Yarrowia lipolytica: one gene and its partners. The protein of the gene in region 3 interacts with the protein of the main gene of each other region in a pairwise test. Links are inferred from orthologs where the notes say so. Each region holds a gene or a part of one and is shown on either strand. Other genes may lie near its edges. The genes, in order: YALI1_D17983g, YALI1_E11415g and YALI1_B21088g.

Region 1 (3,636 bases), on a different chromosome or scaffold from region 3:
CAGAAATCCATGTACCTTGTCTTCTAACACGCGTTAACATAACGAAAAGCGCGTGTGCAACCAGACACGTCTCCTTGAAAACTTCAACCACTGTACGATGGACATGTAGCTGTCGTACAACTACGATATCTTGATGTGAGAATTCGACAAGCTCAGCGAATCATTTCGGTACCAGCTTTTTCCTGAAAAGAGACGAATCAGCCGTTCCAGGGCACCCCAAAGTGGGAAGTGAGACGCACCACTTTTTCAGACAACTCACACATTGCTGCAGAAGATTCTGGCAATGGTTCGCGGGAGTATAGCGAGACCGTGGCATACTATTATGCCACCCGAATGAAGGTCCCTACTAACGACACCACCGAAGAGTCTTGACTGTGGCTCGTAGAACTTGCAGTACAGTATGTGCTGTAATGTAGATGTCGTGCGTTGGTCCGCAACATCGAATGATGTACTAATTAATTTCAAGTATATATCAGAATGAGTTGAAATGACGTTGGTTAAAATTCTGCGTCGTTTAGCTCACTTGAGATTCTCCTCCTTCAATGTGAAGTACAGTCTCATCCGCTCAGCCACACCCAGAGGAACACCATAAACAGGGTTGACAGGACAAATGCTAGTATCGGCTCCATCGCAACTGGTGGCCTGCCAATACAAACCATTCTCGCCCTCGGGGAAGTATATGTACTGAGACATGGCGATTCCACAGGCAGCGTAGTTGGTGTGGTAGGCATCGGCCTTGCAGCCAGGCTTGTCTCGAAGACCTCCTCCAGACTGCTGGCAACAGTTGAGAACGTACTGAGCCAACTGCTTTCGGTCCCAAAGAGAAGGACCAGCATGCACAGCTCCATTGATGAGCACGAGAGAGGCTCCCACCCAGTAGGCGTAACAAGCATCAACCAGTTTGTTGGTTCGGCCAGAGAAACCGCCCTCGGGCTGGTACTGGCGAGCAGACAACCATGCAAGGCACGACTCAACGTTGACATACTGATCCATCTCCCTAATAGGCACCAGAATGGCCAGGGCAGCAAGCGCGCAGTAAGTATAGCCGGCGTGGGCCTCATTGCCAGGGCTACCACCGAAACCTCCCTCGTACGATTGACATGAAGCAATGTACTTAATGACGCCGTCGGTAAGCTCCGTTGTCAGTGTGTTAGTCAGAGAGGCCACCACTAATCGACAGTAGGTGCCTCGCACGTCAGTCTCGCCACCCACGTTGGAAGCGAACCCTCCATCTGGTGACTTTAGCTTCAGGTTGTGTTTGAGAACCTCTTCGGGGTTGATTAGGCGACCCCAGGCATCCTCATCGTCCGAATCAGCCAGAGCGAGGAAGGCGGCGTATGTTGAAGCCGCGTGTGCGTCTTGGCCTGATCCACCTCCAAATACACCGTCCTCCTTAAACGATTCCAGAGTCAGGGGTATTCCCTTCTTCTGTTCGTCGCTCAGCTCGCCTCCCAGCACTCTGATGGCGTTTGCTGACCAGTACAGCAGCCAGGCTCGAGACGCATCCAGTCCAGTGAACTTGTCGGGAAGAGGAGCGTCCGGGCTCAGAAACATGTTGAGGAAATTCACGTGTTTCTCTGTCTCCAGAGATCTGACCTGGTCGCGTGATTTCTCCAGACAGGCGACAATCTGTTCTTCTGTGGCGTTTTGCAGCTCACTTGTTTCCGTGACATACGAGTCTCGGATCGGTAACGTGAGAATGTGTGTCATGTTGCGCAGTTTGTGTCGGTTCTGCTGCGCCGCAATATAGTCCAGAATGGACGACGGTAGACGAGCCATCGTTTTTGTACTGTCAATGTCTTATTGAGACGGCTCAAAGTGGGTGATGAGTAGAATGGTGTGGTGTGAGAGGAGGTGCAGGATTCATGTACACGGTTTGGGAAATGTCAATGCCGGTAGAGAGGGTGGATATGGGGATGATGGAGCGGCCGTGACGTGAAAAAAAGTCGTGGGTGTGTTTGTGGCAAGTTTAGGAGGGAGCGGATTGCTTTAATATTCGAATACAACGACTATTGAGCGGACGGAGAGGGTCTGTTTTCTGCAGTCTAAACTAGGGTATCCAGGTTGAGAGTTGCTGGGTATGCAGCAAAAAACGTTGGGGTGTCGATGATGGAGGCGTATTTTTGTACTCTAGGGGGTCAGCGAAAGCGAGAGATTTGGCGATGTGATATAAGAAGCAAGCGGTCGCCGAGGGGGTAGTTGGATATTAATTGAAGGGCCCTCTTGTGCTCCTCTGAAGGAGATGTCCGACGCTCGTCAGCGTATCCCTTCTCTGAAAGAGAGTGTCTGACGATCGTCAGTTCGCTTTCAAGCGGGTGGTTTCATATACTATTAAGAGATATGTGTTTGAAAGAGCGTTCTTACAGCAATATTACGGCACTGTACAGGCAGAGAAAGTACTTGTATGATGTCCTAAAATCTTACCGAATGTTTCAGCGTTTGTTCATATAGGTGTTCGTTTAAGAGAAGGGTAATTCGGGTTGTAGGGAAGCTAGAAGGCGGGGGACAAAACCAACTGGAAGAGAATCACGTGAGGGACACGATTGGCAACTAATTTTCGTCTTTCCGTTCTAAAAACACCCATTTTTCACCGCCATGAGAGGTTTAGGGGGGAGTAGTAGCTCTGCTGCACTCAACATTCGCTGCAGAGAATTTGTGAGGGATGTCATAGATTCTCGGGAATCGGGTGCCGAAATACCGTCTGGCAATTCAGTCTTCAATCCAACCACACAACAATACCGTCTGGTTCACGAGCCCTTCGAGTTCTGTCTCCCTCCTATATGGAACTTTAACCCACCTTACAGCTGCACTCCTGGTTCCATCGATAGCGCTGATCTCGATAATCTGACAGCCAGCATTGACACTCAAGCCTTCCCAACACAAGCCGCCGATTGCACCAACCAGAAAGTACATGGAAGAGTATTAACCGAATCATCCGGAAGACGAGCGACAGACGACAGACGACAGACGATCGACAGACGACATACGAGCGACACGAACAGACGAAGAAGTAAACACGAAAAATGTCTCTTCCGGAGGAAATATACACCTCGGCAATGCTGGCAATAGCATGTAACGACGACAAAAAGGCGCAGGAGATCCTCGTTTCGCTTCTCCAGACGTACCCTGATTTGGTGGACTATGCGAAAAGTATTTCTCCAGCAACTGGCAAACTGGTACTTCGACAGGCGAAAAGAAGCATGGATGCCTACGATTCTATAAAGAAAGGTGGCTCGGTACTCTCTCTGGCTGAGAAAATTGTCTACTTGTCATCGAGAACCAATTACGGATACGCTTTACCGTGGGAGTACGCGACTCCGGTGTCTGCACTGAAAAAGAGCGATGATCTGTACGTGGACGCAACTGATGGAGGGTTGCGACAGAGCCAACACCGAGACGTGTCGTGGCTGCGTATTCCACACGTCTTTGCGTCGTCAGATGCCGTCTTCACCTGGTCTGGGTTCGAAACACTGTATCAAGATGGCCTGGAAAACTGCTCTTTTGTGGCGTCCCTCCTGTCGATCGGAGTTATGGAAAAGAGATGCAATTACAGTCTGCTGAAGGAGGCTCTACTCGACAAGTCTTCAAACCATCACTTGGGAACCCCCCCGAGTTCTGGAAGATACGATATCAAGC
Region 2 (3,816 bases), on a different chromosome or scaffold from region 3:
CAGCTCAAGGTGGCGCTCCCCAGCATTCTCTTTTCCGACATCACAACCTCTAGCCATTCGGAAAAGTACTACAGCTCATGGTCTTCTGCCATGATCAACTCCGTGGCAGCAGCAACGTCTGCAGGCATTGCCACCACCTGTACTAATCCCTTCGACACTGTGAAAACTCGAATGCAATTGGCCCCCAAAGAGTACCCCAACTTCCTCACCTCCGTTAAGACCATTATACAGCATGAAGGTATTCAGGCGCTGTTTAGAGGCCTGGCGCTGCGAATTTGCAGAAAAGCGTGCCAGGCCGGTATTTCCTGGTGCATTTACGAAGATCTTGTCAAGCGGTTCGAGAGAATGAATCTTCCAGGACCTCAACTTTAGGTGACAACAGCCCGTGATCTCCATCGCTATCTTAGCACCAGCGGTAAAACTGCATCTACATTGCATCTACATTGCTACTCCTCCTGGACATGTATATAAATATGTAATTTATTGTATATTTCTGATGACTACAAAAGGCTACAATTCGAAATGTCTTGCAGCTCAACATTGAGGACTTGGTGTGTGCCATCTCGTTATTAGTTGTATCGCGTATCAGAGAGGTTCCATTAACATAACTCATACAGCCACACTCGTGCTATCTCCTCCAGTCAACGTTTCAAAGGCCTTCTCACTAATGCAAAGCTCAGGAACAACCTTACCCAAACCTGGCTGTCCAAAGATGCTCAGGGCACAAACGCCGAGATAAGAATGCAAAGGATCTGGAATCTCGCCGGGGGTCTTACCAAAGCCACCCAGAAGTGTGTTCTGAGTGTTGTTGAGAAGATATTCACGGGCCAGATCAGCCGAAACATAATTCGTACCTCCCAGACTGGCCAATGAAGCACCCACCCAGAATGAGTAGCATGTGTCTGCCAGTTTTCCAACTCTGCCATTAAAACCTCCAGTCTGGGGGTCTCCTTGTTCTTCCTCCGACGAGTCATTGTCATCTCTCTTAGATGACTCGGACACCTGCGTCTCGCTTGTTCTCTCGTCACACTGCCTGCCCACAAGCCATTCTAACGTTGTTCCCCACTCCTTGTTGTTCAGTTGGCCGGCGTTCTTCAACGCTGACAGTCCGCAATATGTCAGTCCGGAGTGCGGCTCGGTGACGTTGCCCGTCTGACCTTGTCCAATGCCTCCCTGAAACGACTCTGTGTTCTTGATATGGCCAACCATAGCAGGGATGTTAATGTCTCGCGAACTAGACAATCTCTCTGAGGTATCACGTGCCAGTTGTCTAATGCCAGTGGCCAGGTAACAATATCTCATATCATAATCTGGGGCCACCTTTCCATCAATGCAAAAGGATCCAAAACTGCCGTCATCACGCTGACAAGAAGCCACATACGAAAGAATTTTGTCACGCGATAGACGTGTCCAGATCTCCCGGTCACCTAGGATGCCGAGACACGCAAGGCCGAAGAATGTGGCTGCGAGGTTAGCCGGGTCATATTCTGAGTTAGCGTAAAACGAAGCGGATGAATCGGGGTCAGTATCTATAAGAATGTGGCAGATTACAAGACAGACATTGAGAGGCGCCGAAACCAGGCTCTATTTACTTGGATCTATTTCACACTCATGGGATCAACAGATCAAGAAAAGTGAGTCCATTCCAGGGAAATGGTCTCGGGCCATGTAACAGACATCGGCAGTAACAACATGGGAATCTCAGTAAGATGCTCTCAACCCCCTGATGACTCCTCATAATTCAGGATCACCCCTACTATATCACCATAACCACATCTCCGCCTCTTTCCCCATACTCACTGTTGTCTCCCTCTCGTGACTCGCTATGCTCATGTCCACAGAGCTTGAACGTGGGGGATCCTCGAAATCCCTCCCCAGACTCGACCACCTGCTTGTAGATCCACTCAATGTACTCCTTTCTCTGTTCGTCTGTCTTGATGAACTGATCCAGGGTTCCCAGAAGATCTAGTCCGCTCAGGCAGAAGTAGACGATGGAGAGCCGGTTTCCGTCGTAGGAAGTCGCTTGTGCTGGCAGCAGAAACAGGCAGCGGCTGAAGTATTTTGTGTGTTTAGTTTTCTCCATTTTTCGGGTGGTGTGTAAATGGATGTTTGCCATTAAGGGGACATTTAAAGTTCCATATTGTCTGGAGAGGTTTTAGGTTGGTGGGGGTGCAAAGGGGTGTTTTTGGAGATATTGGAAGAGATATTGAGTGATTACAACACTTGTAGGTTGCTAATACCACCGCCCTGGGTCATCCACTAAAATATTGGAGCAATTAAATCACTTTTGAGGCGTCTGAAGTGTGTCTTAATGCCAGAAGAAGAGCTAAGTAAACCTTTAAGATTAATTGGGAGGAAAAGGGAACTAACATTGGAGATTTAGTTTAGATGGTTGATATTCATTGGAGATGTCGACGGGGCGCATGGAACACCAAATCAGCGTAATGGAACACCACTATTTCCAGCTGAATCCCATTGTTCTATTAGTCATCTTTCATCACTCGATTTGCTTCTGTTATTGACTGCTTTGAACGTCTGTCTTACACCTGTCTGCCATATTTCAGTTTCGCTTAAGACAACGGCTATCCGTTTGTTTCTGAACTGAAAAATACCCTCTATTAACACTGCGGGGTAACCGATAACCGAACAGGTGCAACTCCAGATCTAGGGTCTGTGATGAACGCGCCAAATGGATATGCAAAGCACGCTGTTTAACTGGAGGGGGCGGCTCTGATGACATCGTGCGTTTCATGGTATGTCGTTGAAACAGATTTAACCCGTTGATTGTTCCGAGTCATACCTTCATTGAGTCGAGACGCGTATTGGTAGGTTGATCTGCAAGGGTGGGACTTCTGGTTGGACCAAATGGCTGTGATTTAAAACAATATCACGTTGTATTTTGTATCTGATATATTATCGTGTACAGATTGTAATCCCAAGTACTGTAGTGGATATCTGTACATACTGTACTGGATGTACTTGACTGGTATCACGTACCATAACGTTCCGAGACACGTTCCGCGAAGCATGCAGATTGAACCGAGAAAAGGAGAAGCACGTAGAATGACAAAGAAGTATTGAAAATCTCGTCCTAAAGCGGTACTTCGGTTATGACTCTTGGAGGTATTGATTTACAAAGAGTTCGGAAGACCTCAGCCGCATGTTAGTCTGTTATTAGTAATCTCGCTTATTGAGTCATGAACTCTGTTGGTCGAGGACTGTCACACATTGTTGGCCAATTGTCTATTGTGAAGATATACAAATTATATAGCTGAAATAATATTGATCCGGGGATTCGATTGAGAGTTATTTCATTTCATTTGGATCAAAATAGCCCAAGTTAATGATCTCCATTCCCTACCCCGCTAAACCCAATTCTGATACATAAACCCCACAACCGCATCATCTCAACAGCAGTAACACTTCCATACATCCGCAATGACGACGACATTTGGACATACTGCTCGACATAAGTTCTGGGACTTTGACTCGCAGAATACGCCTCTGAACCACGGATCGTTCGGAGCAACTCCCAAAGATGTGGAGGAGAAACGGTTCGAGCTGATCCGAAAGATCGAGAAGAACACAGATAAGTTTATGCGAGTGGATCTCTACAAGATGGAGGACGAAACTCGAGAGTTGGTGTCTAAATGGATCAATTCTGAGAAGCTCAACACGGTATTTGTTCCCAACGCCTCTGTGGGCTTCAATACCGTCATTCGAAGTCTTCCCTTGAAGGAAGGAGATGTGATTGTTCACTGTAGCACTCTCTATGGTGCATGCGACAAGACTCTTCAGTTCATGGAGAACCGATAC
Region 3 (3,457 bases):
CACAGGCACTGCCATGAAAATTCACATTTCAGTGGTGGATCCAGCTTCCAGCACCCTGTCCGGATACATTAATGATACAACGTTTTTCCAGGGTGATATTCTCGGAGATCGATGGAACTACGAGAGCAGACGATGGGGATGGAACCAAATTCGAAGCCCATGGCTCGGCATAGATTCGACAGCCACATACTTGCGACTCAGAGAGGTGTACTCGCTGCGGAAGGGCTCAGATGCTCAGAAACAGTATCATGTCTCACTCAAGAACGGCGTCATGCGCGTTTCACGCGGAGGGCAAGAGACTGTGCTCTACAGAGACACACACAATGGTCGGTTTAGAAGTAGGATCTAAGTGATATAGAACAGAAGGAGTGTGGCATGATAAAGTATTTACCAATTGACATTACAACATAGACCGCTTTAGTCATATGACTTACAACGGTCGATTTTTTTTCTTGCTTGTATGGGTTCACTACAGTGGTATTTGAAGTTCCATGTCTGTGAGATGTTCATGCATATATATTTATCTCGTAGGAGAAATGACTAGGCCTCGACAAGTTTCTTCCGGTAAGCCCAGTAGCCCTTTCGAATGGGGTCGTACTTTTCTTCGAGCAAATTGAGAGCCTCTAGAGCCTTTGACTTCTCCTGCTCCTTGAGGTAGATCTTGGCGAGTAAATCCAGAGCATGCGACGAGGTGATCAGAGGCTCCTCATCTTCTCCCAGATCAGAAGGCAGGCACGCGTACTTGAAAGTCAGCTCCTGCAGATCCTTGATGTCCTTCTTGTAATGGGAGTAGAGACCCTCAATGTACAGCCAGGGGGAGTGGTTTTGTGGTGCTTTGTCGATGGTATTTGCGACGAACTCAACCTCCTCCTGGAAAGACGGCTTTGTAGTCCACTCCTGTTTGTTGTCGTTTTTGAGCTTGAATAAGAAGAACCGGTGGTTCCAAGCGGAGTTGTTTCTGCAGTCCTCCTGGATCATGATGGATGTGGTGGCCAGTTCTGAATCGAGGTTGACAAGTGTGGGGAACCGTGTCACTAGCCATTGTCGATACGACCACACATGGTGGTTCTTGGAGTCGTCAGACAGCATGTAGTCAATGAGTTCAATCTCTCTGTCCAGAGTCAGCTCCTCTCCCAGCAGATCAGGGTTAACCTCGAATAGTTCAAGCAGCTGTTGACGGTGAGGCCAGATCTGGTAGTTCTTGGGGCATGCCATGGCGATGTCATCTACCCAGCGCAGCTCGTGTTGCAGTGCTGCCAGCTTTTCGTCTTTATCTGCAGCACCTGCCTTGACGTCAGCAGCAAATGATTTCAGCGTGTCGATACGGTATGCCCATACGGTGTAATGGGCTGGATTCTGGGCAATCACATTAGACGCGACCTGAAGACCTCGTAAAGACTTCTCGTTCTTTTCCATCAGAGCACGTAGCAAGCCAGTGGCCTGCTTGTACTCGTCAGTGTATGCAATGGAGGCCAGCGCGTGGTCGCTCTCTCGCAGTGGGATGATTTCTAGGTCGTCAAAGTTGTGTGACATGTTGTGTAGGGAGTGTTGTAACGAGTATTTCTAGCACTTGCAGAGCTCCTTTTAAGCTGTGATGAAACTATTGTGTGGACTGAATGCGGTATGAAATAGAGTTTGGATGGGGTGATGTGTTGTATGAGGGTACAGTAATGTAGCTTCACAATTGGGATATCCATATACGGACAACCACAAGTACATGTAGTGTACAAGTACACTACAGCACGACCAGAACGGGTACGTACGAGTAGTATGAGATCATGTGAGGCAAACTGCTGAAAAAAAGCAAAGATGTGGATTATTGGAGAGGGTATTCTGAGAACCCGTAACAACAAGTGGCAGTGTAGCATATATAATATAATATATTACTGTCAAGTTGTATCTTTGCACAACTACTCAGGAACCCAACAAACATACAGGAAGTGAGCAATGCCGCCTCCAGCACAGAACATATGACAGAATCATTCTTTGAGAGCTAAATCACGTGATCAGTGACCTGATTGCCCCACCTTAAATGCTTATTAACAAAAACTGCTTGCTGATCTCACGTCTCTGTGTTTGACAGCCAGTTGTGCGGCTAACAGAGTTCATCTCTATTGTCTCGAAGTCTCGAAAATTCGGCGGGTGCATGCTTTTTTCACTCCAGCTTAAACTCTACGGAAGCAGAAGTGGATCCCCGATGTTCCCTGAGACTTATCAAGGAATGATAGGGGTGGCGCCTGAGACTCTGATTTGGGATATTGGAACTCACGAATCACCCCCAATGGATGACATATATGGCACTGCTATAGCGCATCTGATACCCGTGCATTATTCGACTCAGGTCTCGTGCCTACAGGAAAATGCATGCAACACGCAGATTCATTAGCCAGGGCAACGGTGTGGTCGGTGTCCACGGTGTACTACTTGTAGACTGATAAGCCTGAGAGATGAGTAGTACATACTGTAGCCACGATAAAGATGGTTCAGGTGGATATTACAGTCTCAGATCAAGTTTCGAGGTGCTTTATATTACGTAACGGGGTTCTGAATGGACAACACGCACCATCTCAACAGACATGATGAGCACAGCGTAGTCAACTAGCTCTACATGTTTTTACTGAAAGTACCAGTGTACTACAAACTCTCGATAATTGAAGAACTTACAAATACAAGTGCACTCCTTTTTTAGTGATACAGCTTCTTACAATCGTTGCATGGTTCACCCATGACTATTAATGTACTACAAGGATGATTACTTGTACTTGTAAATCTTCCAACGGACAGTTACTATCATAACGACATGGAACTCTAGCGATGAGCAGGATAATCCACAGCTCACAAAACAGCTAATGAAGTAAATTATGGAATTCCACCTCCAAAGAGCAAATGATTGACAGATACGTATCTGATTACAGCACCAGTACCCGACAGCATCACAGGCACTTCCAAGGCTATCACCGTTGTGAACTCCGATGTGACTGACTACGGTGAATGTTGATGAGTCGGATGGTGATTGTTAATGAGTCAGATACCGATTAAGAGACTGTCTTGTGTGGCGAAAGTGAATAATTGTGATTCAAAAGAAACAAAACCAACCAGGAAAACCACATCAAGTAGCATACCAAGTCTCAATCATCTCACATTATCGAACATCACCACTCTTCCAAGCCCTCTACAGGCACAAGTACAACCTTTCCGTACCCCCAACCCTAACATCGAAATTAAGCTCTGGTCGATAAAGTATTTTTTCGGTTCGTGCATACAACTCTGTTCTATTGGAATTTTTTAAATACCCAACGCTCTTCCTACCACATCCTACTGGAGCACACCCAACTCTCATAATGCCCGCCCCAGTGAACATCCCCTCCATGTTCGACACCATTCTGGTGCTCGATTTCGGCTCCCAGTACTCGCATCTCATCACCCGGCGTCTGCGAGAGTTCAACGTCTACGCCGA

The links.
Region 1: the proteins of YALI1_B21088g (region 3) and YALI1_D17983g interact in binary tests that used the Saccharomyces cerevisiae proteins (3 or more experiments, as listed by UniProt). The link is inferred for Yarrowia lipolytica from reciprocal best matches to the Saccharomyces cerevisiae genes RAM2 and RAM1.
Region 2: the proteins of YALI1_B21088g (region 3) and YALI1_E11415g interact in binary tests that used the Saccharomyces cerevisiae proteins (3 or more experiments, as listed by UniProt). The link is inferred for Yarrowia lipolytica from reciprocal best matches to the Saccharomyces cerevisiae genes RAM2 and CDC43.

The regions. Positions count from the first base shown.
Region 1 is NC_090773.1:1,796,422-1,800,057, reverse strand, and holds YALI1_D17983g (uncharacterized protein), read right to left. Parts: upstream 1,780-3,636; coding exon 520-1,779; downstream 1-519. Other genes in the region: YALI1_D17970g (uncharacterized protein), read left to right, coding at 3,024-3,636. UniProt on the Saccharomyces cerevisiae protein: Catalyzes the transfer of a farnesyl moiety from farnesyl diphosphate to a cysteine at the fourth position from the C-terminus of several proteins having the C-terminal sequence Cys-aliphatic-aliphatic-X where X is Ser, Ala, Met, Cys, or Gln.
Region 2 is NC_090774.1:1,139,801-1,143,616, reverse strand, and holds YALI1_E11415g (uncharacterized protein), read right to left. Parts: upstream 2,084-3,816; coding exon 1,801-2,083; intron 1,488-1,800; coding exon 610-1,487; downstream 1-609. Other genes in the region: YALI1_E11441g (uncharacterized protein), read left to right, coding at 1-372; YALI1_E11402g (uncharacterized protein), read left to right, coding at 3,439-3,816. UniProt on the Saccharomyces cerevisiae protein: Catalyzes the transfer of a geranyl-geranyl moiety from geranyl-geranyl diphosphate to proteins having the C-terminal sequence Cys-Ile-Ile-Leu or Cys-Val-Leu-Leu. Acts, among other substrates, on Rho1 and Rho2 and CDC42 proteins.
Region 3 is NC_090771.1:2,106,964-2,110,420, reverse strand, and holds YALI1_B21088g (uncharacterized protein), read right to left. Parts: upstream 1,534-3,457; coding exon 541-1,533; downstream 1-540. Other genes in the region: YALI1_B21104g (uncharacterized protein), read left to right, coding at 1-349; YALI1_B21070g (uncharacterized protein), read left to right, coding at 3,342-3,457.